Linked DNA regions of Nothobranchius furzeri. The protein of the gene in region 7 interacts with the protein of the main gene of each other region in a biochemical or structural test. Links are inferred from orthologs where the notes say so. Each region holds a gene or a part of one and is shown on either strand. Other genes may lie near its edges.

Evidence for each region.
Region 1: the proteins of smad3a (region 7) and nedd9 form a complex in vitro, tested with the Homo sapiens proteins (2 studies listed by BioGRID). The link is inferred for Nothobranchius furzeri from reciprocal best matches to the Homo sapiens genes SMAD3 and NEDD9.
Region 2: the proteins of smad3a (region 7) and pin1 form a complex in vitro, tested with the Homo sapiens proteins (2 studies listed by BioGRID, with this or other methods). The link is inferred for Nothobranchius furzeri from reciprocal best matches to the Homo sapiens genes SMAD3 and PIN1.
Region 3: the proteins of smad3a (region 7) and tfe3b form a complex in vitro, tested with the Homo sapiens proteins (2 studies listed by BioGRID). The link is inferred for Nothobranchius furzeri from reciprocal best matches to the Homo sapiens genes SMAD3 and TFE3.
Region 4: the proteins of smad3a (region 7) and erbin form a complex in vitro, tested with the Homo sapiens proteins (2 studies listed by BioGRID). The link is inferred for Nothobranchius furzeri from reciprocal best matches to the Homo sapiens genes SMAD3 and ERBIN.
Region 5: the proteins of smad3a (region 7) and lef1 form a complex in vitro, tested with the Homo sapiens proteins (2 studies listed by BioGRID, with this or other methods). The link is inferred for Nothobranchius furzeri from reciprocal best matches to the Homo sapiens genes SMAD3 and LEF1.
Region 6: the proteins of smad3a (region 7) and nedd4a interact in a test that uses a peptide from one of them, tested with the Homo sapiens proteins (3 studies listed by BioGRID and IntAct, with this or other methods). The link is inferred for Nothobranchius furzeri from reciprocal best matches to the Homo sapiens genes SMAD3 and NEDD4.

The regions. Positions count from the first base shown.
Region 1 is NC_091759.1:25,473,764-25,478,510, reverse strand, and holds the start of nedd9 (enhancer of filamentation 1), read right to left. Parts: upstream 2,943-4,747; 5' UTR 2,720-2,942; coding exon 2,708-2,719; intron 1-2,707. UniProt on the Homo sapiens protein: Scaffolding protein which plays a central coordinating role for tyrosine-kinase-based signaling related to cell adhesion. As a focal adhesion protein, plays a role in embryonic fibroblast migration.
Region 2 is NC_091744.1:9,162,568-9,166,742, reverse strand, and holds part of pin1 (peptidyl-prolyl cis-trans isomerase NIMA-interacting 1), read right to left. Parts: intron 2,104-4,175; coding exon 2,021-2,103; intron 893-2,020; coding exon 784-892; intron 703-783; coding exon 592-702; intron 1-591. UniProt on the Homo sapiens protein: Peptidyl-prolyl cis/trans isomerase (PPIase) that binds to and isomerizes specific phosphorylated Ser/Thr-Pro (pSer/Thr-Pro) motifs.
Region 3 is NC_091743.1:40,793,433-40,797,607, forward strand, and holds part of tfe3b (transcription factor E3b), read left to right. Parts: intron 1-1,534; coding exon 1,535-1,751; intron 1,752-2,162; coding exon 2,163-2,387; intron 2,388-2,819; coding exon 2,820-2,915; intron 2,916-4,175. UniProt on the Homo sapiens protein: Transcription factor that acts as a master regulator of lysosomal biogenesis and immune response.
Region 4 is NC_091746.1:65,208,685-65,213,381, reverse strand, and holds the end of erbin (erbin), read left to right. Parts: intron 1-2,996; coding exon 2,997-3,089; intron 3,090-3,190; coding exon 3,191-3,265; intron 3,266-3,345; coding exon 3,346-3,453; 3' UTR 3,454-3,669; downstream 3,670-4,697. UniProt on the Homo sapiens protein: Acts as an adapter for the receptor ERBB2, in epithelia. By binding the unphosphorylated 'Tyr-1248' of receptor ERBB2, it may contribute to stabilize this unphosphorylated state.
Region 5 is NC_091746.1:81,737,598-81,741,772, forward strand, and holds part of lef1 (lymphoid enhancer-binding factor 1), read right to left. Parts: intron 3,529-4,175; coding exon 3,396-3,528; intron 1-3,395. UniProt on the Homo sapiens protein: Transcription factor that binds DNA in a sequence-specific manner. Participates in the Wnt signaling pathway. Activates transcription of target genes in the presence of CTNNB1 and EP300.
Region 6 is NC_091749.1:60,037,860-60,041,418, reverse strand, and holds the end of nedd4a (E3 ubiquitin-protein ligase NEDD4), read right to left. Parts: coding exon 3,526-3,559; intron 2,933-3,525; coding exon 2,873-2,932; intron 2,793-2,872; coding exon 2,685-2,792; intron 2,607-2,684; coding exon 2,510-2,606; intron 1,876-2,509; coding exon 1,803-1,875; intron 1,151-1,802; coding exon 1,048-1,150; 3' UTR 815-1,047; downstream 1-814. UniProt on the Homo sapiens protein: E3 ubiquitin-protein ligase which accepts ubiquitin from an E2 ubiquitin-conjugating enzyme in the form of a thioester and then directly transfers the ubiquitin to targeted substrates. Specifically ubiquitinates 'Lys-63' in target proteins.
Region 7 is NC_091749.1:43,537,716-43,541,890, reverse strand, and holds part of smad3a (mothers against decapentaplegic homolog 3a), read right to left. Parts: intron 3,932-4,175; coding exon 3,719-3,931; intron 3,634-3,718; coding exon 3,496-3,633; intron 1-3,495. UniProt on the Homo sapiens protein: Receptor-regulated SMAD (R-SMAD) that is an intracellular signal transducer and transcriptional modulator activated by TGF-beta (transforming growth factor) and activin type 1 receptor kinases.

The DNA.
Region 1 (4,747 bases), on a different chromosome or scaffold from region 7:
CAGGACGTCGGACACCTGAACCCTCACAAACAAGATCAAGGAGGTCCAGACTCCCTCCAGCTCCTCCTGGAGGATCCCAATCTCTTCCCAGGTTTTAAGGATCCCCCCAGAGGGATCTGGGTCTGGCTCCAGAAGAACCTCCAGAGAGGAGAGACCAGGAGGAATCTGAAGCACCTCAGCTGCCTCCTGCAGTGAGGAGCAGCAGCTACTCTCTGAGCTCCTCCAGGCTGATGGAGCTCCTTCTCCCCATCTCCAAGATCAGCTTGGATCCAGGATGTGGTTTATCGGGTCCTGATCCAGATCTCAGGACCCGATGAAGGTTTTGGTGATTCGAATGAATCAAACCAGCACCTGAATCCAAGGAAACCTTCATCTAAACATCTTCATTAACAAAAGACACTTTCCTCCACCGTGGCGTCATCTGGAGACGACGGGTTTCCGCTGAACAAATCCCAACACAAACGTCTCGTTGTTCCGACACTCAAACAGACGTCTGGGAAAGAAAACCTTCATTAACAAAGTGAAACAACGAAGCGTCGCCTGGAACGCTCCCATTCTCACCCTCCACCTCCCACCCCCACCCCACCACTTCCTTTTTCCAGAGCCTTTCAGGACCTCCTCCTCCTCACCCCCAGAACAATGTCAGCCCTCCTTCAGCGCCGCTGGCCCGCTGCCCGCAGTCCCAGCCATGAAACTCGGAGGAAAACACACATTCCGGGCTCAGACGGTCCACCTCATCGCTCCTATTTCTGCAGCACTGACATCAGCTGCCCAGGAACTCTGCGGGGGGTGGGGGGGAGGGTTGTATCCCAACACTTCATACCATTCCAATAAAATCAGCCGGAGCGTCACTGTTCTATAAATACTTCCTGTTAGGTTAGTTAGACCTGGGCTTTTTTGTTTGGGAGCGTCTGATCTGGAGGAAGCTGCTCCCGACGCATCATTTAAACTTTAGAAGCTTTGCAAGTCAAACTAAATTTAATTATAACCTTTTTCATGTAACTGTAAAACTGGAGATTTGAACTGTTGAACGTTTACAGCAGCTCCTTTTTCTGTTTACATTTTTGAACGTGCCAAATTCCATTTATGACGCGTTGTTTTCAGTTTGGGACCGGCAGAAGTTCTAGTGCTGATCAGGAAGAGAAATCTGCTCAAACCTCTCAGAAAAACCAGAGGTGCACCGATTCTGGTCTGAGGGCCGATACCAGCTCTTGTGGAGCTAGCGTGCCGATTCCAGTTGGTCTCAAATAACTTAGATAAATGTGATAAATCAATTTAAAAAGTCTGCTTATCTAGGAAATTCTGATTTTAGACGTGAAAACGTCCACATGGCAGACCTGCTACTGTTAGCAAGAATTAGCAGTAATCACGCCGACGCAGCCGATTCCGAACGCCAGGCGATTTTTCCTCTGGGATTATGTAAGCAAGGTGGGCGGAGTCTCAAACGGTTGAATAACAACATCACAATATTTAGGATTTAAAAACTTTAACAATAAAATGTCTGACTTTTGGTTTCAAGATTTAATTATTGCATGTTAATGAACGTAAAGGGATGCCGTAAGTACACCGGATTTAGAGAAATGACCTCATAAAACAAAACAGCAACAATCTCTTGTGTGTCCACCAGAGTGGACTCATTACCGGGGAGGGGATCATGTGACCCGTGGAGGATCCCCGTCACACCTGAACACCTGTCGGAAACATCTCACCTTCGTGTTTCTGTACACGACCGATGGACGCTAGGAACAGAGCAGCTGAAGCCTGATGATGCTGATGTGACGCCTGAGTGGCTGTTTTTATGTCCTCTGGCTGTGTTTTCATGACGCGCGCGCGCGTGCCTGCCTGCCTGCGTGTGTGTGTGTGTGTGTTTATTATAAGCGCAGTGGAAACAACCTCCTGATATCTACAAACACAACATGTCAGCGTGCACGGCTCTGCTGTGGGTCGTGTTTATCACAATCCTCTGATCCTGTTTATGATGATCACTGTTGCCATGGAGACCTGCTGTAACTCACTGACCCCTGCGTCCTGCTCCTCCCGTGCACTCAACAGGAGGGTGAGTCCGCTCGGAGCATGACGTGGGGTGACACCGGAACCAGGAGACCCAAACAGAGCAGAACCTCACACAGAAACGGGTTCCAGCTCATGGCTGTGATTGACGACTGAACCCCAGAAGCAGAACCACAGACGTGTTTCAGCATTTTAATCATCTGGACTAGATGCCAGTGTTTGGGTTTAGTTACACACGAGGTCCAGCGCAGTGGAGGAGGTGCTGGTTTCTCTGCTCCGACTGTTTTTGTGCCTGTGGTGTAATTCACTACGGCCCTGGATGGCGTCACTGGTTTCCAGTCTGCAACTCTCATCATCCAACCACTAAATTACAGACCTGAGCGGTGTTGTCGGCCACGCCAAACACCCAAACCTGAGCTTTCCACCCTGCTTCAGAGCTTTTACCCTCACTTGGTTCTGCTGGGGGGCCCAGCCTGGCCCCTGGTGCCCTCCGTGCGCTCCAGGGCTGCAGGGCTCCTGCTCAGAAGGACCTGGCAGCGTTTCCTCTGCCAAGTCTCTCCCCTTAAAAACTTCCACCTAACTGGATGTTTCCGCTGGGAGGTTGAGAAGTGACCTGAACGCTTACAGCTTCTGGGCTGAGTCAGAACCACGCCACGTCCAGCGTTTAACGGGAAAAGCAGAAAGAAGCGGAACTCACTTTGTACTTCATCCTGCTGCTTCTGGCGGGGAATAAAATCCAGCAAAAACCAACTCTAATCCGCTGAAAGGCGAGAAGAGCCCGCGCATGTGAAGAAGCGCAGAGCGGAGGAGTTGATCTCTCAGCGGGTTACAGATCCATCCGACCCGGAGCCGAAGGCACGGAGAGCCGCGGAGAGGACCGAGCTGGAGCCGCTGCACCGCTTTCTGCTCCGCTGCGCGCGACCGCTGCTCCGCTCAGACACGCAGCCGCCCGCTGATTGGTCACGACCAACGGCCTAGCCACGCCCACCCAACGCTGCCTTTCTGAAGTCACGTCACTGTCACCGGATGCCCTTCAAAATAGAACAAATTAAAAGATTGTAACATATTCACCTGGAAAAGAAAGTATTTAAAATGAGCTGCTTCAGCATCATCACGTGAATAAAGTTCCTGTCATAAAATAAACTAAAATAGAAGTTCTAACTCATTTTCACCCTAATTATTTTACTTAAATATTTATTTTCATGTGTAAATAAATACAATTTAAAAATGTGCTTAAATCTTCTTCATTTAATCTTCATGAAAAAAATTATGTTTTACACGCACGCACGCGCACACACACACTAGCATTCGTTGTGAGGACCGTCCTTGACTTCTATTCATTTTAGTGACTGGATTGTGCCTAACCCTTACCCTAGACCTACCTCTAACCATAACCAGTCCACTCCTAACCCTAACAAGTCACACCAAACCGCTAAAAATAACCAGTAGAACTCTGGGACATTGTCCTAAAGTAAGGACCAGCAAAATGTCCTCACTTTGCTACCAATGTCCTCAGTTTGTAGGTAAAACAAAAAGATTGATTTGGTCCTCACTTTGATGTATAGACCGACACACACACACGCACACACGCACACACGCACACACACACACACACACACACACACACACACACACACACACACACACACACACACACACACACACACACCACTTAAATGAAGTAAAGGTGCTGAGATGGGAGCTGTTTCCTGGCCTGAATTATTGTCCCAGCCTGTCCCTGACTCTCACCCACCAAACTTTATAAGTACTCAGCTAGTGGTTAGCGTTTTGGTTGTGCTCACCGCTCTGACCCGTCCATCCTGTGGTTTAAAAGTTGGAATGGTGCCCATTTGAACAAGTAATCCATCTGAAAATGTACTCCAGTCATGGTGGTGGTTTAACAAGCAGTCAGTGAAATCATCGTCACGGCTCAGTTTAGAGAGTCCAGAAGAGAAAAATCCAACCATTTCTGCAGATTAAGCTCTTCTTCAGGATCTGTTCCTCTTGCAGACAAAAATCCATTTTTGGTTTCTGGGTTTTATTTAAAGTGCAGACACTTCCACACAACGGAGGAGATTAAAGTCCCGGCTAGCTACATGGAGAGCCTGGGTGTTAGTGATTACAGTCCAGGGGAGGAGGGATCCAGATCCAAGACTTCCTGGATGGGGAGGAGCTTGTGATGAAAGTATGGCCGTGTTTGAGATGAGCCAGCTCTGCACAGATTAGATCACCGTTGATCGGCTCGCGGTGCATGCCCGTTAGATTTGTGTCTGACGTCACGCCTACGTAGGCAACGATAACCTCGTGAGATGAAGGCGGCCTCAGATGTTGGAGCAGTTCGCTGCAGCTGCTCTCCACTGGCTGCAACACCTAGGGCATGATGGGAAACGCCTGGCTCTCACCTGATCTAAGATCTGATTGGTTCTCATTTTGATCCAAACATCCGGTGGGAGAATGCGACATGTTAGTTGGTCGTATGCATCCTGTAAATCATGTCACGTCGATGATGACAACTATATCGGCCATACAGAGAAATGTGATTTGTTTTCTTTTGTCACGTTTCCTACGAGCACACTGAACCTCTGTTATTACAGTCATGTCTTCATATGCACGTGTGTACAATAATACCCACAAACACTCAGTCGCTATCAGGCACCAGAACTTTACACTCTTATGAATGCTAACGCGATATCGTCACCCCCGAGCTACATGTGTCTGTTCGACTTAAACGCCGGCT
Region 2 (4,175 bases), on a different chromosome or scaffold from region 7:
AGGCCCTTTCAGTGTGTAAATATCAACAGACCACTAATTAATACAAATTTGATCAACATTCACACACCCGCCAGGGTTCTACAGAAAAAATAAAACATTTGATAGTTTCTGCCTGCCGTTGCATTTGGTGTCTCGTTCCCTTTTACTTGTTATAAATGAGTTTTTATTTTTCCACACAAAAAGCTGTGTTTTCTGATTATTTTAAGTTTACAATCTGAAACAAATAAGACTTCCAAAACATCTTGGTCTCTATAAACCAGTTTCTTTCATCTACAGACAGTTATATTAAGACTTTCAGAAAAATCTTCACTTTGATTTTATTGTTACTTCAGACTTATTAGAGGAAAACTTTTTGGGGTATTACAGTTAAAAGCAAAACTATAACACCGGGAGAAGGTGTTGGTTTTAGTAAATAACCAAGTTAAGTGTTGAACCTGTCCCTTGCTCTCACACACACTCGATGTTTAAAAAAATAATAAAAATCTACACAAACATTTATCCTGGGAACAAAGTCCAACTGATCCGAATGGCTACAAATCTAAACAGAGAACTAAACTGAATAGTCCGACCCAGATCGTGATGTTTTAATACCTCTGCCAAACAGTCCGAGATCACCACCGTTCTTGGCTGAGCTGCAGTCGCTGAACTGTGAAGCTAAGGACTCAAACGATTCATGTCCAGACTTGATCTGTTCTATGTACTCTGAGCAGGAAAAAAGGACATGAAACGATCAGACTTCTGCAGAGTGACACCTCCGTTCCTCTTCTGCTTGGTCTAACTTACTCTGAATGAACTCCAAGGCCTCATCTTTAGTTCGTGTAATATTTTGTTCCCGCCAAGAAGATGGACGACGCGACTGATTATGTTTCACCAGGAGGTGAGAGCAGCGGACCTGTAAGAAAAACACAAAAATGGCCGAGAACTTTCATCGAAAGAGCTAATCATCAATCACCTGACCCATTAAGGATCCATTTTATTTTTCATACTAAGCATTAAGCACTGAACACATGAAATCAAAAGCATTTTGAAAGAAGCAGTTATAGAAGATGACTGAAAAGTTTATGCATCATTTTTCCATAAACAGCCTGTCTTGTCAAAGTCAGTTATTCAGTGCGTTTACATGCAGCCAGTAACCCTTTTAAAACCCGAATATTCACAATAACCCGGTTCCGCAGGTCCTTGTAAACACCACCAGAAACCCGGATATGCTCATAACCGGGTTTTTAAAAACCCGGTTACTACACCTGGGGTAACCCTTTTCTAACCCGAATGTTTGGTCGTGTAAATGCATACCGGGATATCCCCATCAAAGCGTGTGTTCTGCGCATGCTCTGTTCGCAAGGAATCTTGGTCTTTTGAGTAGCGAGACGTCTTGTATGCGCCAGAACACCAGAAGTAAACAAGTTGGGAGCAACATGGCGAGTCGTGGCACAGCACCACACTTTGAGTGACGAGGAAACTAAAGCGCAAACAAACACGGTCGCTATCTCTTCCGAACTGGGAAAAATTTTGTTGTTTTCACGGATACCAGAACAAGAAGAACCGGAAATGATGCATATTGCATCTGGACGTAGTCCACACGTCCTGACGCTGCCCCAACGTCCGCATTTACATCGGGTTATGCAAGTTAGGGGTAACTCGTGCTTGTAAACGGGTTATTCTGAACAACTCAGAAACCCGAATGCCGACCTTAACCCGATCATAACCCGGATATTGGCTGCATGTAAACGTACTCATTGTGCAGCCAAACTGATTCAACTAATCAGGATTATTTCATATTCAGTCACAGAAAACATACTTCAGCATTTTCTAAACTGTTGAATAAAACAGATCCTCCATATCAGTCTCTTTGATGGGTACTTTAAACCAGCAACACAAACTTGGAAGTATTCAACTGAAAACAAATTTCCTTATGTTTTGTTTTTGCCAAGTTTATTTTAAATGTCACATTTCCTGTTAAATAGTAGAAAAAAAATCCAACTTGTGTAATTAAAGTTTATTGTTGTTGTTATTGCAACACCTTATCTGGCTCTCCACGGCCGTCTCCCACTGGACGTTCCCACTGGCTGGCATTGGTGATGTGATTAAAGTAGTAAACCTTGCCTGCAAGAGAAAAAACCCCATAAATGTTTAAATTTCAACGTGCATCTATATTTTTATTACAAAGGTTACAAGAAAAGACAAAAATGAATAGTTATTGCTCACTTAAACCATTAATAAACAATTTTGTAAAGAGAAAAATGCAAAATACTTTATGTTTATGTATTTAGCAGACGCTTTTGTCCAAAGCGACTTACAAGTGATAATCGGCATGTTGCCCTTGAGGCTAACAACAACAAAAACAACAACTTGACATCAAGACCACAGAGAAAATATAAAAATAAGCAAAGTTTTAATCTGTGCATAAAATTTTATTTTGTTTCTTCTCTTTTTCATCACTTCCTTCTCCATTCTGCTCTTGCAGCCATACTGCATTTCCCCTGGGATCCACTAACTATCTATTTTTTTTTATTCGGTTTCTTGTTCCCTTTCCTCCACATTTTTAATCGCAACTTTTACTTTGATCATTCCATTCCATTCCATTCCATTTATTTGATAAAGCACATTTAAAAACAGCATGTGAGCTGACCAAAGTGCTGTACAGGGGTAAAAACATATAAGGTTAAAAGAATAATATAAAAGAATAAAACAACTAGAGCAAAACACAAAGAACCAACAATGAGAAGTCAATAAAATCAGTAAAAGAACAGTGTAAATAAACCATCGATAAAATAGCTAGGTAGTAAAAGCAAGAGAATAAAAGTAAGTCTTTAAGTGAGACTTAAAAACCCCAATGGAGGAGGAGAGTCTGATATGCAGCGGGAGATCATTCCAGAGTTTTGGAGCGCAGACAGAAAAAGCTCGTTCACCACGGGTTTTGCAGCGTTGACGGGGAATCTTTAATAGGTGTAGGTCACCTGAACGGAGAGTCCTGCCTGGCACATAAGGAGTGAGTAACTCGGATATGTAGGGTGGTGCTAAGCCATTCAGTGCCTTAAAAACAAACAATAAAATTTTAAAACGTATACGGTAGTGCACAGGAAGCCAGTGAAGTCTTGCTAAAATGGGAGTGATGTGCTGCCGACGGCCAGTATTGGTCAGAAATCTTGCTGTCGCATTTTGTATCAGCTGAAGGCGAGATAATGCGGCTTTTGAAATGCCAAACAGAATTGCATTGGAGTAGTCCAACCTTGAGGTGATCATATTTTACGATATTTAAAAAAAACATTTTTGTCCAAATGAAGAGCCTTCTTATTTTTATCTTGAGAGGTGCTGAATAAAATATTGTTCCTTCTTTCTTCCTTTAACTATATTGTACATTTCTATTTTCTGCATGCTGACTGAACCTTTGAGATCCAGCTGTAAATCCAGATTAAGACAGAGGATGCCAAAATAAACAAATAAATAAGTAAACGAGTGGGAAAACAACAGCTTCTTTCTCACATTTGAACATTTTTTTGTTTCTATTATTGACATGAACGTTTACTATCTATGCAGGAGACTTGTGCCTTTGCCAGAATTAAAAACATACATAAATTGCTCAAAATGATCTAAAATGCCATTGTGATTTCACTATTTTCAGCTAGTTTCAACACTTTTTAAAAATGAAATGAATTAAAATCTCAAAAGTGCCAAATGCGATTCAAGCCTTTCAAATTATTTCAAGCATTCCTATGAAGTGTTGACTTTGTGGTCACGTGTGCTCCCAGCAGAAAGGAGCGTCTCTGGTCTCTTCTGAGTCTCGCGCTGTTTTTTTTTAACAAACTTTATTTGTTTTTGTCACAAATACATAGTCACACTAACAAACATACATCAAATATACACACGAACAGACATCAGCTCATTAATCAACAAGAGGCACATAACAGATAATACAACCTTCCAAAAGGTACATTTTGTGATTGTTTTTGTTATACAGGGTCAATCAGAAATAAACATTAAAGACTTATTAAAGTGAGTTCTGCCTTCTTATTTACAATTAACTTTATGGTGTTAACATATGAATGGAAGTCATTTAAGAAAACGCAAAAGTTAGGGAGAGATTTGGAGACCCTCGCTTTATGTATATGAAATTTCCCTAAAAGAAGCATTAAATTAATTATAAAACTTAACCTTTTATCATTACATTCAAACTT
Region 3 (4,175 bases), on a different chromosome or scaffold from region 7:
GAGCCAATATCCACACTTTATTGAAACAACTCCAGTCTCTAGATTTTTGTAGTATCTGATCTTATTTATACTCTACCTTTAACTTCACATTTTTATGGAAGTCTGTGTTTATTTGCTATCTTAAATTGTATCCTCAGCAGCAAGTACACAGCATGTGCTGCATCTGGAGGTCAAGTCTAACATGAGTTTCTTAACATTTCGTCCAAATGAACCATACGATTCAATATAGGCAGCACTTTTGGCAGTGCTCAGACGTTAGCTCATCAGTCCTGTAGGATGCCAATACCATTTTTCCAAGCAAAGGTCTTTCAGGAAGTTACGACAGGTAAATGCACCTTAAGTAGCTCAAAAATCAATTTTAACCTGACATCCTTTTCAACATTTCTATCTTCCTAAGTAGTTTGGTCACTAAATATGTTTTGGATACAAACAAACTGACTGCAAATCCACACTGGAGGCATTAGCGGTGTGGAACGGCGCTGCTTCACCATTGTAGTCCATGGGTTAACCCAAACTGGCCTGTGGCGCGGAACATTTCAGGCGTAGTCCGGACGTGGCTCGCTGGCCTGCCAGACTCCTCAGGGTCTGGGAACTCTCCTATTCAAATAACCCCGCCCCCTGAGAATTGTAACCGAGCCAATCGGCGCTGAGTAGCGTACGTCACACACCACAACGCCGAGTTAGTCATAAACATGGCGACTGAAGCGGAGTTCGCTCTGGTCTAAATGACTTGAACATCTTTAAAACCACAACAAGTAGAAGCGCTGAAAGCCTTTCTTCTAAAGAAACAAGTTTGCGCCGTCGCCAGACGCCATTTTTGGCTACAGCTAAAAAACGACAGCGTCGCGCGGTACAGTCGGCATTTCCGTCGTTTTTCTGATTGGTTATTTTTGAGCTGTCTAGTCCCGCCCCTCATGTGCCTCTCTGCCTGTGAGTCACCAGAGTCTCTGTGCAGAATTAAACGGAGGACGAGTCTGGCAGGCCAGGCTAGCTAAAGATAGAACTGGGTTGTATTTTTGATGAGCTGCTTCTAAGAAAGTTCACATAGAGCTAGACAGGAAGTCACCCACAGTTTCATTGTAAAACGTCTGGTAATTTTCAAAATAAAAGATAATTGCAGAGATGCGATTTCTTATCTATATGCATTACGTCAATACATGTGACCTTTCCTCCCAGCATTGTTGAGAAGTACAGCCGTGTGTTTTTCATGGCTTTAATCCTGATAGTGGAGAGGAACAACAACATATGACATCAAATGTGATCTCCTCCTTGGCATAAACAAACCGGGACCTTTGAAGTCTGGAGGGATTTTGTGAGTCCGGTGAGGAGGATCACAGACGAGTTGCTCCGCCGCAGAGATTCCCCGGTGTAGATTGACGCACCGCAAAGCACGCGAGTAAACCGTCCCGCTGCCATTCCGCTCCACTGATGCCTTGAGTGTGGATTCAGGGTGTGACGTACCAGCATAATTAACAACACGACACATCTTAAACTCTTCACGTCTAACATCTTTTGTGGTTCTGTGTTTCTCCAGCTTTAAGCCTTGCTCTGCCTCCATCATGTCGTCACGGGTGTTGCTGCGGCAGCAGCTAATGAGGGAACAAGCTCAGGAGCAGGAGAGGCGAGAGGCCCAGCAGCAGGCCTCTGTCTCTCAGCTCCGAGCCTCTGATTCCACTCCAGCCATCTCCGTCAGCCTGGCCACAAACGGGGCCCGCCCTCCTCCTGCTCAGGTGCCTGTGGAGGTGCTGAAAGTAAGGCCGCCTGCTTCTGCATAGTACTCAAGTGTCATTTAAAAAATAATTCGGTGCTGTAACTCATTTAAAAGCGTGGTTCGCTGAAAAAACATGTTTAATGATTGTGACTCACTGAGGTTTTCATTCAGGCCGAACATGAAAGTATTCTGTGATGATAACAGACGGTGAAATGCTTGGATTTAAAAAGTCTCACACGTCTACTTCACACTGACTTGGCGTTCAGGGCCTCGCCGACCTTGACTTGCAAATGTTTTTCCGAGTGCCGCTTGCATCAAATTAAAACTGAACAAGGTGTTGAAATCATGAGAAAGTCACCGCATTCTCCTCTTCTTAGTATTTTATACAGGATGTTCAGAAATCGTACAGGTTTTGGAGTAAAGGTATGTAACAAGTATTGAAACGGTTCAGGTGCAGACCCACTTGGAGAACCCCACCAAGTACCACATCCAGCAGGCCCAGAGGCAGCAGGTGAAGCAGTACCTGTCTACCACTTTGGGCAACAAGGCGGTGACTCAGACCCTCGGCGTGTCGCCGGTCCCACAGTCCAGTTCGGCCCCTGAGGTCGGCCCTTCTGCCAGCAGTGCCCCTAACAGTCCCATGGCTCTGCTCAACATCGGATCCAACAAGGAGGAAGTAAGGGGAATTCCTGCTTTCTTACCAGTGGTTTGATTTCTCCTGTGTGAGTTTCATTTGCTTGTACAGCAGATTGCCCAACGCTGCTGGTCGTTGGCCTTCCTGCAGATCTGCACGTCGTTTTGAGGAAGTTAAAAGTGGATCCCCTTGCTCATTTTTCTTTAATTAGTTTGTTATAGCATGTTAAGCTGGAAGCTCCCACTGCAACGATGCAAGCCTTCTGATCATCACACCCCTGTTAGCCTGTTGTCACAATAGCATGTTAAATGTTGCACCTCCTCCTATTTACTGACCTCCTCGGAGCTCCTGCTTTGGGTTCAGCACTTCTGTTAGAAGTGCTGTGAGTTTTTAGCCTGTTAAAGGCTAAAAACTCACAGCATGTTGCCTTAATGAGAACGAACATTCACCTGTGGGTGTTTGTCTTTCATGTAGATCGACGATGTGATCGACGACATTATTAGTCTTGAATCCAGTCTGAACGATGACATCATTACGCTGATCGACTCAGGCCTGCAGCTGCCCAGCACGGTATGATAAACAACGCTTTTATTTGATTTTCTTTTTGCTACTTCCTCTAAAATTCAGATGTTGGATGACAGAAAACTCCAGGTTTGGTCTTAGTACGTGTTCTAAAGTCGGGGTGCTTTTTCTGTGAATGCACGTCCCTTTTCTGTGAGGAATTCTGAATCTGTGGGAGCAAACATACATTTGTGTCACTTTCTTACTATTTGCCACAGACGTGCTGCCTGGGCGGGGTAAAGCTATCAGAGGGGGAAGTGAGACAAAGTGGATTTTGCTGACTAGATAGTACAGCAGTCGGTTAAACGGTAGTTAGGACAGTCGCAACAGAGGGCCAGAGAGAAAATGAGAATTATGGTGATCCTTTTGGAAGACAAGAAGAAAGTCAGTGAGGTAAATCTGCTCTTTTGCTTTTGGAAAGAACAACAAGCGTCACCCAGCCTTGGTATTCAGGTAGAAAGATTAGATTGTTTGCTGTCCTCGAACAGCTTCAGTTAACTGAAAAGTTTCCGTTCTTATTGCCATGTGCAGCTTTCAGAAGCAATCTGTTCATATTTCAATTTTGGTTTCATTTCCAATCATAAAAGACAATTTAGTTTACACAAAAACCATTTACATAGTTTAGTCCCATCCTGTGTGTGTGTGTGTGTGTGTGCGTGTGCGTTAAGGTTTGGGTTAGGCGCAATCCTGTCACTAAAATGAATTCAATTCAAAGATAATTAATTAGACTTGCTAAGGGGGAGAGGGAGGGAGGGAGGGAGGGAGAGAGAGTGAGAGAGAGAGAGAGAGAGTGCGAGAGCGAGAGAGTGCGAGAGCGAGAGAGCGAGAGAGAGAGAGAGAGAGAGAGAGAGAGAGAGAGAGAGAGAGAGAGAGAGAGAGAGAGAGAGAGAGAGAGAGAGAGAGAGAGAGAGAGAGAGAGAGAGAGAGAGAGAGAGAGAGAGAGAGAGAGAGAGAGAGAGAGAGAGAGAGAGAGAGAGAGAGAGAGAGAGAGAGAGAGAGAGAGAGAGAGAGAGAGAGAGAGAGAGAGAGAGAGAGAGAGAGAGAGAGAGAGAGAGAGAGAGAGAGAGACCCACAATCTGTGTGGCAAAGCAGCCAGCAACGTGTATAAGCAACTTCCTGTTTGGACATTCAGGCTCCCGTAGCAGTTCTCTACATTTATAGCAGCTCTGCTCATGGACTGGTCGATTTAGTGGAATATTAATTTTAACATGTTTTAAATTTGTGTTTGAAAGTTATAAGTAATATAAGTAGCCAGAACATTCTTATGAT
Region 4 (4,697 bases), on a different chromosome or scaffold from region 7:
ACACATATAGTATGGGACATATATACACGCCCCGCAGAGCAGTCATCAGAAAATCAGGCCCAAAAGGCGATGCTTTAGTGTGAGCCTTGTGATCCAGCAGACAAAACGGAGTGAGCCAGCGACAGTGCAGTCACATCCAAACGGTAAAACTGAGTAAACGTGTGCGGTGAAGACCCAACTGGCAGCAGCTCAGATGTCGCCCACTGGGGCTCCTCTGAAAAGGGCCCAGGATGCAGCTGCACCTCTGGTCGAATGAGCTCTCACTCCCTGAGGTAAATGGAGACCCTTGCTGACATAAGCAAGAGAAATAGCCTCCACCACCCAATGGGAGAGTCTTTGTCTGGACAGAGCTTTACCTCTGGCTGGATTGGCTAAACACATAAGCTGCTGATCACATAACCGCATACTCTGAGTACGGTTAATGTAGATATGTAAAGCGCGCACTGGGCACACAAATTGAAGCCTACTTTGTTCCTCTGAAGCAAAAGGAGGCAGATGAAAACTAGCCAGCTCAATGATCATGGACCTGTAACTAGATGGAAGCACTTTTGGGAGATGAGAAGCATTAGATTTAGATTAGATTAGATTTCAGATTTATTGGCCAAGTAAAAGTACATTTACAAGGAATTTGTCTTCGGTAGATGTTCGCTTTCTAAAACAGACAACAACCACAATAAATGAGAATAAAAATACCTAAAAACACATAACATGTATACCCACACACATGTTCATTTACACACACACACATATATACATACCCACGCGCACACACACACACACACACACACACACACACACATATCCATAAGCATACTGAATAAGTATTAAAAACTATAATAAAAAGATGGTAAAAGAATCTACAGATTCAGGAGAGAAATGGCTGAAGGAAAGAAACTTCTTGTGTCTGGTAGTTTTTGTGTACAGTGATCTATAGCATCTGCCAGATGGGAGGAGATGGAAGAGAGTAGATGCAGGATGTGTGGCATCTTGGACAATATTCAGTGCCTTTTTCCTGGTCCTGCTGATGTACAGTTCCTGGACAGAGGGCAGCTGGGCACCAATAATTTTTCCTGCTGTTTTAATAATACGCTGTAGTCTGCATTTGTCCATTTTTGTGGCTGACCCAAACCAGACAGTGATGGATGAGCAAAGTATGGATTCGACTGCAGCAGTATAGAAGATGATCAGCAGCTCTTGTGATAGGCCGTACTTCCTTAGTTGCCGTAAGAAATACATCCTCTGCTGAGCCTTTTTGAGGATGGAGTTGATGTTTGTTTCCCACTTCAGATCCCTGGAAATGATAGTTCCCAAGAACTTGAATGAGTCCACCATTGACACTGGGCTGTTGGATATTGTGAGGGGGGGCAGCACCGTGGGAAGCTTCCTAAAATCCACGACCATCCCCACAGTCTTAAGGGTGTTAAGCTCAAGATTGTGCTGACTACACCAGACCACCAGCCTCTCAGCTTCTCGTTAAGCAGACTCATCACCATCCCGGATGAGCCCAATGACAGTGGTGTCATCTGCAAATTTCAGGATTTTAACAGCCGTGTCTTTAGAGGTGCATTAGGTCCTAATGTGACCTTAGAGCCCCCAGCAGAGAATTGCACACATGACAGGTGCACTGAAAGTGCATGCAGGTAGCCGACACGTTTGGCAGACGCCAGTGCAAGAAGCAGAGCCGTTGTGTGTAAGATTTTTATATCAACCGACTCAAGTGGTTCAAACGTTGCGTCACACAGAGCATCCAGCACAGCTCTTAGGTCTGCGGACCCCTTTCAGGAAACGAATCGCTAAGGGGTGTGCACCTGGTGTCACTCCATCAATGCCAACATGGCAAGCAGAAATGGCAGCCAAGTAAACCTTGGTTGTGGAGAAAGATAGACCCCCCTCCACCAGTCCCTGTAAGAACGTTAATACGTCTACGATGGGGCACTGGAATGGAGCAATATTCCTGTTCAGACACCGCTTCTCAAAAGCTCTCTTTTTTAAAATATATAAGCTTCTAGTAGATGGTGCCCTAGCGCACTGAATAGTCTCAACCACAGCCAAAGGGAGACCCCTGGCTAATAAGCTGGACCTCTCATCAGGTAGACATGCAACATCCACAACTCTGGGCATGGATGAAGTATCTCTCCCTGCGCCCGCGACAGGAGATCGGGACAGTGAGGGAGTTCCCGGGGCTCCTCCACCAGCAAGCTGATTATCTCTGCACACCATGACTTTGCAGGCCAGCGAGGGGCCACCAGAATTAAGGTCAGGCTGTGTTCGCGTACCCTCTCCAGTATTGGAGGAATCATCTCCACCGGAGGAAATGCATACAGAAGCACTTTGGGCCACTGGTGAGATGGCGCGTCCACCCCCAGTGGAGCATTCTGATCGTCTATTGAAAAGAACAGAGGGCAGTGGGTGTTGTCTTTAGATGCAATCGCACAATCCTGTTACCTCAGCAAAGCAAAAAGCAGCTTGAAGGACCCCCCACCCCCACCCTGGCCGTGCCTGGTTTCAGCTGTTACCATCAGGCAGGCACTTCTAGACTAGAGGACAGCTTTTGTCCAGCAGCCATAACTCTTAATACAAACCTGTAGCAAAAAACAGCTGCAGTTACCGATCTAGAAGCCAATGAATGCTTTCTGGCGGTAGTATTTATTACTAGAACTTTTCATTCTTGGAGAATTTCGATGTTGAACGTTTGTCGCCAATGAATGCATCCTTTATAGCAGTGTCGTAAAATTATTATTGAAACTTTGATTTTCTTAGATTTTTACATTTTAAATGTGTGATGATGACTAAACGCACCACGCGGGGGGAGCAGTGCTCCCAGTTTTGCTGTAAGCCGAGCTCCGCTCACAATTAAGACTTGTTTCATCTTTCTGTCACATCTGTGTCACTCAGCCCTTCACTTCATATTTTTACTCCTAATGTAGGGTGGTTATGTAATTAAGTGTGTGTGAGTGTGAAACTACGGCTAATTAAAGTGAGTGGGTGTGTTTCAGATCCATGTGACGGTAGAGAAGAATCCAGAGCTAGGTTTCAGCATATCGGGAGGAGTTGGGGGCCGGGGAAACCCCTTCCGCCCCGATGATAATGTAACATTGATTTAGTATTATTTTTCTTTTACGAACATTACCATTAAAGATCATTTAATGGAAACCACTGATTATATCGTCCTTTGTTGTGTGACTTGCAGGGTATATTTGTGACGAGGGTTCAGCAAGAAGGACCAGCATCCAAGATTCTTCAGCCTGGAGATAAAATAATTCAGGTCTGACGTGTTTGTGATCAGCATCTGCCTAATTTGCAACAGCTGCTTCGAGTTATTCATTTTTTATTTTCTGTTTGCAGGCAAACGGCTACAGCTTTGTGAATATTGATCATGCTTATGCAGTCTCTCTGCTGAAGACATTTCCAGCCACTGTGGATTTAATTATCATAAGAGAAGTGCAGGCGTAGGCTCTGCTGGACGAGTGAGCACATGAAAGGAGAACAAAGATGGATGTAAACCCATATTTTTGTACTGATCTGCAGACACCTTTTCGGACTATTTATAGCTTGGCTCTTCAGAGGTCTGCGTCACCTCGATGAAACGGGGAAACCACTGAATGTAGTGGATCTCATGTGAAGCAGCAGCAAACACGTGCAAGTACATGTCGTCAAAGGCCATCACTGTGGTATATATCTATTTTTATACGAAGAACCTAAAAATGTGCTTTGATGAGAATACTGTGGTCTCTGTAAAGACTTTTTAATTCTTTTCGTTTTCAACTGAACCACTGATCAACAGTAAGGTTTTTGCTAATGGACATAAAGGTGGCCACTAGGGGGCAGGGCGCCCTCACTTCCTCCTTTGTCATCCAGTTTGCTTCTTCATTTTGGGATTTTTTATTTAATTTTTTTATTATTCAAATAATTTTTTTCTCTGCTGCCGGGCAACTTTATCAGCCGAACTGCGGTACGTGTTTCTCATTGGGGAGGTGAATGTCGATCAGGGCGGTGTTTGGTTTGGTTTTTATCACGAGGAAATCATCTAGTGCTGCTTCCATCAACCTGTGAAGATCCACCGGCTCACAACGCCCAAGTCCAGCTGCAATGCAGTCGGGAAATGTATCACGGCTTCTCAGACGGCGACGAAATGCATTCGGCATGTTACAAGGCAGGAAAGTCGAACGGAAATTTGTATATTTCTGAAAAATGAGTCAGTTTTTTTACCAAGTAAAACTGAGAGCAATAAGCCAATAATTTTCAGCAGAACTCCAGATAAAAAAACGCTCATTTAAAAATAAAACCTTTTATCTGTTGTAAGAAGAAAAAAGTGGTGGTTGTGCTGTTGAACCAAAGTAAGCATTAAAAATCAAACCTGCGGCAAAAACAGAGAATCCAAGGAAAGTCGTTTGTATAATCCATCTGTGTGATTTTGAATGGTTGTCAGCATCTAGTGTTTTTAACAGAAAACCACTGGTTGCCTTTGTACGTTTAAGTTGTTTTCTTTGTTTATCCATCGCTGGTGCAGTCCGTTTTACTTTTCCCTTCAGTGCACAGAGAACAAAGGTGGGAGACACAAATTGTCAAGTGCCATAAGACCTTGAACTATTTGAACAGAGCGGGGGAGGACATTTGGACCCCAGAATCAGAGCAATACTCACATTCACCACCGTTTCAGTACATTTGCAGCGTTACGGCTTCAGAGCAATACTTAA
Region 5 (4,175 bases), on a different chromosome or scaffold from region 7:
AAAGAGGGCAAATGCTTCCAGATTAGCACCGTCTTCTAATCCCTGCTGGAGCCATCCTTTTCTCCTTGCTTCCATCTTTTCCTCCCCCTCCTCTCTCCAAGCCGTGGTCTGAAGGGGCCTCCCTCCTCCGAGAGGCAGGCCGGGTGGGAGGCTTATATCTCCAAAGCCAATGTTGCGTCGCTGGATTCGTAGCACGGATAGCTCGGCTCCCCGCTTGCTAATCCACCACCTAACACTCCTTTAGGGCCCTCCTGAGGAGGGCAGAAGGGAGGCAGGTGAGTGGCGAAGCAGTGGGGGGGAGGAAAAGAGCACCCTGATGCGTTAACCTTGTCGCTCACACGTGTATGACGCCTAATTATTCGCCCCTTCATGTTCACACGTCCCAAACAAAACGTCTTTATTTTATTTATTTTCTCCAAACACCCCCACCCCCCTCTGCTCGACCTTCCATCCCACGCAGCAGCCCTGTGCATATTAGAGCTCATAATGAGAAAATCCATGATTGTTTTTCATAATTAACGAGCAGATCAAAGTCTGAGCCCACTAAAGGAAGCACAGCAGCTATTGGTCGATATTAGGAGAGAAGAAAGAGCGAGAGGGACTGTGGAAGGGGAAAAAAGAACGGGAGAGATTTCATTTTAAGCATCTTCGGCTTAGCTCTGCTGACACACACACACACACACACACACACACACACACACACACACACACACACACACACACACACACACACACACACACACACACACACACACACACACACACACACACACACACACACACACACACACACACACACACACACACACACACACACACACACACACACACACACACACACACACACACACACACACACACACACACACACACACACACACACACAGCCTGGGGAAATTATTTGTAGCTAATTCTGCAACTGGATAGCTTGGACATGGATTTCTGTTAGGCTGTGAGTGCAGAGATCAAGGAGTTGCCAACGGGGGAATTATTGCGTCTTTTTTTGTGAAAAGCAAAATTTCACACAGAAAAAGACGGGTGCATTTGTTGTTGTGTTGCCTGTTAGTCCTTTTATGCATCTATTACAATAAAGCTCTCATCTGTTTCAGAAGCTTTGCAGATGTGGAGCGTTGTCTCTTTACGTGTCCCGCTCCCTTCATCTCCCTGCACCGCATACATTCACGCTTCGTTCCGTAGGATTATTTATAGCCGGTCCCTCAGAGCCTCCCATCCTTCTCATCATCATCACCTACATCTCCTCGTACTCCTCATCCTTTTCAAGTGACAGTTGCAGGAGAAGAAAGCGGAGGAAAGTGAAAAGGTGCGGGACAAAACCACGCTTGGCCCACGTCTTTTTTTGAATTTTTCTCCTCCTCTGCTAGCATCAGTGAGATGCTGCCAAAGCCTCCAGCTGCGCAGGGCTGAAGGAGCTCGTCCAAACGGCAGAGGAGCTCTTCTGCAGCTGTCAGAGCTGCAGCTTGATGTTATTCCTGAGAGGCAACGAGTGCAGAGGGAGAGGGCAACGAGCTCAGCGCGACATCCCACCGGCTGCTTCAAATGACTTCACAGCAAAAGATGGTGGCAGGGTGACTTCGCTCCGACATATTTCTGTGTGTGTGTCTCAACGGATTCCTGACGGTGTTGACAGTCGTTTAAAAAAAGAATACTTGTGCTGCCTCCGAGATGACTTCCAATATTTTTAGCATAAACTGCACATCATCCAATAATGGCTTTAACGTACGAGTTTGATCAATGGTAGCATGGACGTAATTTTGGGGGGGGGGACAGGGGGGACATGCCCCCCCCACACACTTTTTCCAAAGTCAAGTTTTGACCCCTGCACTTTTTACCATCCAAAAACAATATTACGCTATATTAAATTGACACTGGTTGAGCTCTAGGACCAAGCAGAAAACAACCGTTTGTGTTGAAGCCGGTTTCCCATTAGAGCATACTGTAAAGCCCCCCCCCCCCCCCCCCCCCCACTGTCCCCCCCACTTCTAAAGTGAAAATTGTGTCCATGAATGGTAGATTGGAGCTTCTGTAAAAGCGAGACCACATTTTAGATTTCATTTGTTTAAGCTTGATTCATGATCTGGGATTATGGAGGTGTTCTCTTAAAACAGGCACCCAGATTTGACACGTAAAGCCAGAGTCTTAGGGTCGGGTTATGCTTGCTTTTTACGTGTTTTGGCGCAGGCTGCGTCTTTTTTCACATGCTTGCTGCTGCACGGCACTGCGCTGCACGTAGTACTGAAGGACTTCGTTAGGGGGCTCAGTTCAGACCGATAGAGTCCAGGGTTTGTTCGAAACAAACATCGTGTCAATAGAAAAGATCTGTTTCATTTGGAGATCCCGGCAGGAAAAACGACAGCAGCGGTATCATAGATAGTATGGAAGTCCTCTAAACCATGGTGGGTGTCTCACATGTTTAGTTAACTCCGCCTACTGGTTACTCGTATACTGCAGCGTTCGAACGCGTCTCGTTAATTTCGGGGGATGCGCACAAACAACATTTTAAATCAACGCACATTACAGGAGACAGTCATAATAAACATGTATATACACACTGTTAAAACCAAGCATTTTGCAGCCCTTAAGCCTGATTTATACATCTCCGTCAGCTCCGCTAGGCAGAGACACACTCATTGACAGAGATGTTTTGCTCTCGGACTTCTCCGTCACCTGGGGAGTGTTGCAAAGCAGTTCCCCGCCAGGACAGCAGAGGGAGTAGCTCTGTTCTGGCGTATCATGCCACCATTACACCCATGTATCCGATCCCACGATAGTGAATGTGTTCATGTATTTTAGAGACTTTATAACATTCTCATTCTCCTCCACCTCTTCATGCGGTCGCCACCTCTAAACCCACGTTTCCTGCCATTTCCATCCATGAATAAAACATTTGCTCCGTGTTTTTGTACTCCTTCAGTCACAGATGAAAAATGTCGCTGGTTTTGGGCCACGACTAGTTTCTACTCCTATTAGAGTCATCACAGCTGTCTGGAACCCGTCTCAAACCCTTCTCAATGTAGTTTTTGAGAGTCAAAGTTCAAAGAACTCAATACGATGGAGCAGTTAGTAAACAAACTTGAAATGGCATGCGGGGTAAACTGTAAGCAAATCGAGACACGTTAGAACTAAACCGCCACAAGAAACATTAGCAGGGCAGTTCCCTTCTGTTCGCCCAACATAACACTGCCGTACTCAAACTTCTTCCTCGAGGATCATTTGTACAAATTTATTGAAGTTCCAACTAACAATCTGTTGATGTTCCTGCAAACAGTTGCATCCCAGTCAGATGCTGGATTAGAGACCGACTCGGGTGCTTTTTCCTTCACAGTTCGAGACGACTCAGACAACACAAAACGACGTTGTGTCGGCGTGTCTCTTACCTTGTTTGTTGCTGGCATCCTGGGGATGATGGCCTGAATGGGAGCCTGGAGCAAAGTGCTCATCGCTGTACGTGATCAGTGGTGTGAGAGGGTGGACTGCATGGGACGGCTGCACAACAGGGACTTTATTGGACTGTGGAAACAAAAGCAAATTGGTCAGATTACAATAAAATTTTTGATTTTTCACATGAACACTATGGACCTAATGTCGTTTCTGTCATGCAGAAGCAGGACGCTGGCTCAGCTAGTGCAGCACAGGCTCTACCTCCACCCTGATGAAAAGGTAACTGCTCCACCGACACTCACCAACATGGACACTGCACCTTATTCATATTTACAAATCGTGTTTCTATGTATACTGCAATGCAACCAGTATTATTATCTTCCAACGGTATTTATTACAACCTTATTTATTACGGTTTTAGCAAAACCCCTCCCCCCAACCTCAACTCAATGCCATACACAGCTTTTTTTTAAATACACAATTCTTCCTTTTAGTACATACTTGTTATTTTATCTCTTCTGTGTACCGCATATACACGGAGAGACGCCAAAGCGCCTTCCACTGTTCTTGCAGCAGTGGCAATACAGACTGATTCCATTCTAAAACACATTGTTCCCGTTTGTTGTTGAGCCCAGCAGCTCTACACTTTCAGCACAGGTCAGCGGGATTAAAGACGCCACTCCCTGAAGAAACGAGAGAAAAATAAATAAAAGCAAAGATGTGTGTGTTTGGGGGTGAAGCAGAAAGAAGGACGCAAACAGAAGAGAAGCGAACGG
Region 6 (3,559 bases), about 17 Mb from region 7:
CAAAATAAAATTGTGGAAAACTCACTATCAAAGACATTTTTCACTGATAAATATCTTCCAGAATGACCAGAATTTAGCTCAACTGTGTTTATGGATGTATGTTAGGGCTGTTGCCTTGCAGCAAGAAGGTCCAGGGTTTCTGCATGTTTCTCCCTGTGCATGCATGGGTTCTCCCCGGGTACTTCTGCTTCCTCCCAGAGTCCAAAAATATGACTGTCAGGTTAATTGGTCTGTCTAAAATTATCCTTAGGTGTGAGTGTTTGTGTGTGCTTGATTGATTGTCCCACGTGTCTCTTGTGTTGCTCTGCGATAGACTGGCAACCTGTCCAGGGTGTACGCCGCCTGCTTGCCCATTGACTGCTGGAGACAGGCACCAGCCCCTGTGACCCTACATGGAATAGCAGGCTCAGATCATGGATGTGTATATGTAATGTTGTGAAAATTTCTGTTTGCTTTTATAGTCAAAATTATTGTTATATCAACCTTGACAACCTTGTTGGAGGGTCTTAGTTGAACCCATAGCCCCTTTTGTCAGTTTGTTTATTGTTGTTAATGTTATTTTTTATTAATATTATTAATAATAATTATTGTTATTATTTTATGATGATGTTGATGTTGAGTGATTCTGATTCAGATCAGATTATTTAAGGTCGAATGTTTACGACATCTAAATCAGTTTGATTCACAGTATCGCTTTGCATTATTTCACAGAATAAAGTTATTTTTATACTATTTCAAAGCATTTTAGCAGAACGAGTACATACATACACCTTTGAGCGACTAACAATCTAGAATCAGATAAAATGAAAACCTGATGAAAACCTGATTTTAGAAGACGTGGAGTGACAAAAAATACCTCAGTTACTCCAGATTTTTGCATCCTGTTTTTAACGTGAGCACCAACAGAGAAAAGAAGTAAGGGTTCCTTCATCTGTCACACAGCTGGTGGGTTAAAATCCCCTTCAGATGCACAGCTTGTTTTTTCCACCAGGCCATGCTGCCTGGCTTTTTTTCTGACCACAGTAATGTTGTTTCCTTGCGTGCACACTAATCCACCCCATCGAAGCCTTGTGTATTCTCAATGGCGACATTAAGCTTCTCCTTCAGTTCCTCAAATGACTCGTAAGGAGGAAGGTCCAGACGGTTGAAGCTTTAGGAGGGAAAAACAAAGAAAACAGGGTTAGAATTAAACAGGAATCATACAAATCTGTAGTTAAATGAGATTCCACCAAAAATGATCAATAGGAAAACATACTAAAAATGTATTACAATCAGACGTGTTTTATTATTTTCTTATTTCCCAAATAATCTGGCCTAGAGTTGATTTCAAGTGTGAATTAATTTAAAAGCTGTTTCCTTGAAATCATAACAAAGATGTAATGTTTTTAATGAGCCAAGTGGAACAAGATGAGGCTGTAAAACAAGACAAATTCATCAGAAATAGCATGACATTCTCCAAAGCCTCCATCTTCACTAAATCCCATCAAATGCAGCAGAAAGGGCAGTATTTCCTAATCAAATTTACTTTCTGAATACAAAACCAAACCTAGAAGATCCAAACCTATGTATGTTCAGAAACTTGTCTTTGGATGATGTGCAATCAAAAACAAACATCAAATACACTCAAACTAAAAACACATTTTTGTGCAGACTGTTTATCAGCTACCTGACAGATAACTAAAACAGCAGAGCAGCCAATAATGTAAAAAAAAAAAGTATTTAACTTAGCTTATTTAAACGTCAGCGCCCACTTTCACAGACGTTAATACCATTGCAAAACAGAACCACAGAGAAGCACTCACCATGTGTGGGCTCTAGGAAGTTTATCACGTGTACCCCATTGCTCAATGGTAAACAGCTGTGGCCCGTTAGACCCTGGATATAAAAGCATCAGGAAACATTTGAACTCAAAATGGTTGTGCAAAAACTATTTAGCACAAGCAGGAGGTAAAGATTGTTGGTTCATTCCATTTGAAGTCAGAACTTCTAAGGGTCAAGTCAGAAAAGACCCAAATCCAACCATGGCTCTGGCTTACATTTAAAAGTTTGCATTTTTGTCTGAATCTCATCAAACTAGTATAACACAAGAGTGAAAGGAGACGTGATTTTGATCCAGGAGCTCTGGCTACTTACAGACCTAAACATCAGATATTTGTGTTAGATCTAAAAGCAAATGAAGGGTAGATGAGCAGCACTTGTGAGAGCATTTACACAAATTTTCAGTTTGAAGGGTTTCAGTCATGATGTAGAGCTCATCAACCAACACTAGTGATATTCTCATGGCCTCAGACTCCAGACGGGTAGCTGATCTCAGAGCCGAGTTTATCTTCCACAGAAACGATGACAGGTCCGACCCTTTTTTGTTTGTCTTATTTGAAAAGACCTTAACTTAAAAATGACTTGTTCAGCAGAATGTGTGATGTTAGTCTGAGTACAGTTGTATTATCACACACAGAAAACATCAAAACAAACCCAGGAACCAGGTTTATGACTACGTAGGTTTTCTTACCATAAAGTTCAGCAAAGCCGTTCATCGGTACCCGGGACGTTCCCGTCACAAACTGCAAAAGCCGAATTCGCTTCTCTGCATCCATCAGCAGTACGGTCTAAAACAACAATAATAAGACCTGAAAAATGACTGAAGCCAAGGCTCATCTTCAACCAGGTGTGGAAGTTTGTCTTACTTTCCAAAACCAGTGGATCACGATGTGTTCGGCGCAGTAGCCATTCTTGTACTTGGTATTCTGCCTCCAGTCTTTCACATCTACGTCTCCTAGGCCACACATGAGCAGCTGTGGGGTAAAGCAGATGAGGAATTTGCCATTTTTTATCTGAATGTTACAAATTCACAATGAAATAAACGAAAAGTCACCTCAAGCTCATTCTCATCAAAGATCTTGATCAGATCTTGTGGTATCAGCTCGAAGAATCCCTAAAAACACAAACAGTTAACAGATTTCCCTATGTTCCCATTTTTTGTTGCTTTATTGTGTTTCTCTGGTTGTAAAATACAGGGTATCTGCAGGTTTAAGGGAGCCAAATTTAAGACTTTTTAAGACCTTTTTAAGGCCACTTTGACCAAATTTAAGCTATTTTTTAAAATTAAATTTAAGCTATAATTTCCAGCTATTGCCTGGAACCGGTGCTAACCACGTTGCGAACGTGGGATTAGCCATCCAGTTACCATAAAAGTTGCACGTCCCCATGACGCAATCTCGCACTAGCTTAAACAGCTAATGTGTTCATCTAAAAAAGCCCCCTTTCATTACCAACTGAATGTGTATGGTTCCGCTTACGCTAACATCGTACACAAAAAATGCTGAACACTAACTAGAAATTCATGAAAATTGAAATAAAAATAATCTTGTTTATTGGGTCTTTGGTCATTTAAGACCTTTGGAAACTGTATTTAAGGATTATTATTAATTTTGAAGGATTTTTAAGGCCTTAAATTTGGAAAAGCAAATTTAAGACTTTTTAAGACTTTTTAAGGACCTGCGGATACCCTGAAAATAAAAAAATTACCTCCTTAAAAGCCATCATCTGCTTCTGTATTCTG
Region 7 (4,175 bases):
GAGGAGGGTCTGATCGATAGTTGAATCTCAGATAGAGGAGGAGCAATGTGGTTTTCGTCCTGGCCGTGGAACTGTGGACCAGCTCTATACCCTTGCAAGGGTGATGGAGGGGGCATGGGAGTTTGCCCAACCAATCCACATGTGCTTTGTGGATTTGGAGAAGGCTTATGACCGTGTCCCCAGGGGCACCCTGTGGGGGACGCTCCAGGAGTATGGGGTGGGTGGCTTTCTGTTAAGGGCCATTCAGTCCCTTTACCAGAGGAGCGTGAGTTTGGTCCGCATAGCCGGTAGTAAGTCGGACCTGTTCCCAGTGAGGGTTGGACTCCGCCAGGGCTGCCCTTTGTCACCGGTTCTGTTCATCACTTTTATGGACAGAATTTCTAGACGCAGCCGTGGTGTGGAGTGTGTCGAGTTTGGTGGCAGGAGAATCTCGTCTCTGCTTTTTGCGGATGATGTGGTCCTCCTAGCTTCATCCAGCTCTGACCTTCAGCTCTTGCTGGGTAGGTTCGCGGCCGAATGTGAAGCGGCTGGGATGAGGATCAGCACCTCCAAATCTGAGACCATGGTTCTCGACCGGAAAAGGGTGGCTTGCCACCTCCGGGTCGGGGGAGAGGTCCTACCTCAAGTGGAGGAGTTTAAGTATCTCGGGGTCTTGTTCACGAGTGAGGGTAGGAGGGATCGGGAGATCGACAGGCGGATTGGTTCGGCGTCTGCAGTGATGCGGACGCTGAGCCGATCTGTCGTGGGGAAGAGGGAGCTGAGCCAGAAAGCCAGGCTCTCGATTTACCGGTCGATCTACGTCCCAATCCTCACCTATGGTCATGAGCTTTGGGTAATGACCGAAAGAACGAGATCGCCGATACAAGCGGCCGAAATGAGTTTCCTCCGTAGGGTGGCCGGGCTCAGCCTTAGAGATAGGGTGCGGAGCTCGGACATTCGGGAGGGATTCGGAGTAGAACCGCTGCTCATCCGGATCGAAAGGAGCCAGTTGAGGTGGTTTGGGCATCTGGTCAGGATGCCTCCTGGACGCCTCCCCGGGGAGGTGTTTCGGGCATGTCCTGCCGGCAGAAGGCCCCCGGGTCGACCCAGGACACGTTGGAGAGGTTACATCTCCAATCTGGTCCGGGAACGCCTTGGGGTCCTGCCGGAGGAGCTGGTGGACAAGGCCGGGGAGAGGACGGCCTGGAGCTCCCTAATTGGGATGCTGCCCCCGCGACCCGGACCCGGATAAGCGGAGGAAGACGAAGACGAAGATGTACATCTCCTTTAAGCCCCATGAGATGTCTAAGCTGCAGCTGTTACACACCTGCTTAGACTCTATCAAAACCTGGATGGCTGGGAGCTTTCCACAGCTGAATGAAGATAAGACTGAGATCCTCATCTGTGCCCAAGACAAGCTGGTTCCCAAAGTCAGAGACTCTCTTGGTCAGCTTGCTTCTCACACCAAACCCTCTGCCAGGAATCTTGGAGTGACCTTTGACCCAGCTCTCACCCTGGACTCTCATGTCAGTTCTCTTGTTCGCTCTTCCTTCTTCCATCTCAGGAACATTGCTAAGCTGAGTCCCATTCTGTCCCGCTCTGAACTTGAGACAGTTATCCACACCTTCATCTCCTCACTCTTAGACTACTGTAACTCTCTTTTCACGTGTCTGAGCAGAACTTCCCTGAACCATCTACAGGTGGTTCAGAATGCCTGTGCTCGGCTTCTGACCAAGTTCTCCAAATACACCCACATCACCCCGCTTCTCCTCCAGCTTCACTGGCTGCCAGTCAACTTCAGGGTTCATTTCAAGATCCTGGTTCTGGTCTATAGGGCCTTACATGGACAAGCACCATCATACATTGGTGATCTTCTTTGTCCCTACACCCCCAGCAGGTCCCTGAGGTCCAGTGGTCAAAGCCTACTGGTTGTGCAGCACCAGGCTAAAGACCAAAGGTGACAGATCATTTGCTGCTGTGGCCCCCAGACTCTGGAACTCTCTCCCCCTGAGCCTGAGATCAGGGGATTCAGTGGTCTCCTTCAAAAAGCAGCTGAAGACTCACTTGTTCAAGCTGGCTTTTGTATGACCTTCTTCACCACTCTCTCTTTATGCTCTTAGTTACTCTCTCTCTTTCTTAACCTTTTTTTAATCACAATTGTCTATTTTTGCTCATTTAAAATATATTTTTAATCATTTTCCATATTTTTTACATTTTTTGTTTTTGTGAAGCACCTTGTGATTTTTATCTTGAGAGGCGCTATAGAAATTATATTTTCTTCTCCCCCCCCCCATCCCCCCCCCCCCCCACCACCACCACCACCAAAATTAAACAAGTGCCAAGGATATCCGATAAGATTATCTTCAGAGCCATCACAGTAATCTGCCGTGGGATCTTCAGAAGGGGAGAATTGGGTCAAGAAGTACCCTGCCGTGTGAACCGGTCTGTAGAAGACTGCTTATTTGAAAGTAACTTAGGAGATGAAACATTCGCGTAAGAACCTACAAACTCCAACATGGACCTGAGCAAACATCTCCTTTGGTAAATAAAGAGCTCATGTCTGTGTTTTTAATGAGAGGAGAGATGAGTCAGAGGAGATATCCTTGAGTTGATGATGACAGAGGTGATGTCACAGATAAGATGATATATAAGCAGCACAGCAGCTGAGAATAACTCAGTTTTAATTCATCTAGACATCTAATAACACCTAATTCTCACAAAAGGTTCCTGACCATACACACTACATACCATACCAAGTTTATTTGTATAGCACATTTAAACACCGCATGAGAGCCGACCAAAGTGCTGAACAAAAACACACAATAAAAACAATCAAAAATAAAAACTAAAACCATTAAAATCGAGTAATCCAACTCGAAAAGAAAAGGAGAAAGAGAATAAGTTAGACTGAATTAAAAGCCAACGAATAAAAGTGAGTTTTTAAACGAGACTTAAAAAGGGAAAGAGAGTCTGATCAGGAGGGGCAAGTGGTTCCAGAGCTTCGGTGCACAAACCGAAAAGGCGAGCTCCTCGCGGGATTTACAGCGAGAGCTAGGGACATGTAGGAGGTGCTGGTCGGCTGATCGGAGGGATCTTGTAGGGACATACGGGTGAATGAGCTCAGACAAGTAGCTAGGTGCTAAGTTATTGAGGGATTTAAATACAAAAACCAGGATCTTAAACTCTATACGGAGATGGATGGGGAGCCAATGGAGATTTGCTAAAACTGGTGTGATGTGTTCTCGCTGCCTGGTGCCAGTCAAGAAACGAGCTGCTACGTTCTGCACAAGCTGAAGTCAAGCGAGGGTGGAGGAGGAGATACCAAAGAGCACTGAATTACAATAGGAAGTAATAAATGCATGGACAACTGAATACACACTACATAGTTTCCAACACAGCTGGGGATCAAGCTACCAACCCAGTTTCCATCCATCACTCTACGCTCTCATCTGTATCTTTTCCCAACTCATCACAGTCTATAAAGGATTCTGCTGACTCCATCAGCTGGACACACACCTGGGGGGATCTTGCAGACAGTGGCGGGGTGCCAACCATAACGCTGATTACAGTTGGGGCTCTGGACGAAGATAGCGCTATCACTGAGACACTCTGCAAACACTTCTCCTCCGATGTAGTACAGCCGCACACCACGCCCTGAGAGAGAGAAACGCAGAAGCACGGATGTCACAGAGACGTTAACCAGACAGTTTTATCTGTTATAATCAGAGCTGATGCCCACCGATGTGTCTGCGTGTTAACTCCACTGCTGCATTGCGGTTGACGTTGGACAACAATCCGAGGCAGAAACGCTCAGAGTTTGAGGGGTCTGTGAAGCCATCCACCGTCAACGAGGGCTGTGAGGCGTGGAAGGTCTCCCCTACTCGCTGGTTCAGCTCGTAGTAGGAAATGGAGCACCAGAACGCTGGCTCACAGTATGTTACTGGCTGGAGATCTGTGAGGGAAAGGTGCTGTTAGTTTGGCTCCAACAGATAACAGAAAAGGACAGTAGCTGGTCTCTGAAAGGACTGAGATGAGCAGATCTGTTTGGCCTGTCATGTTGGAAGTAAGATAAACAGAGGAGGAACTGGAGTCAGGGATCCTAGAATAACAAGAGGATGAAAATAGAAGAAACGAATGGCAGAAAACAAAAAACACAAGAGAGAAACTAGAGATACAATGATAACAGACAAGAGACA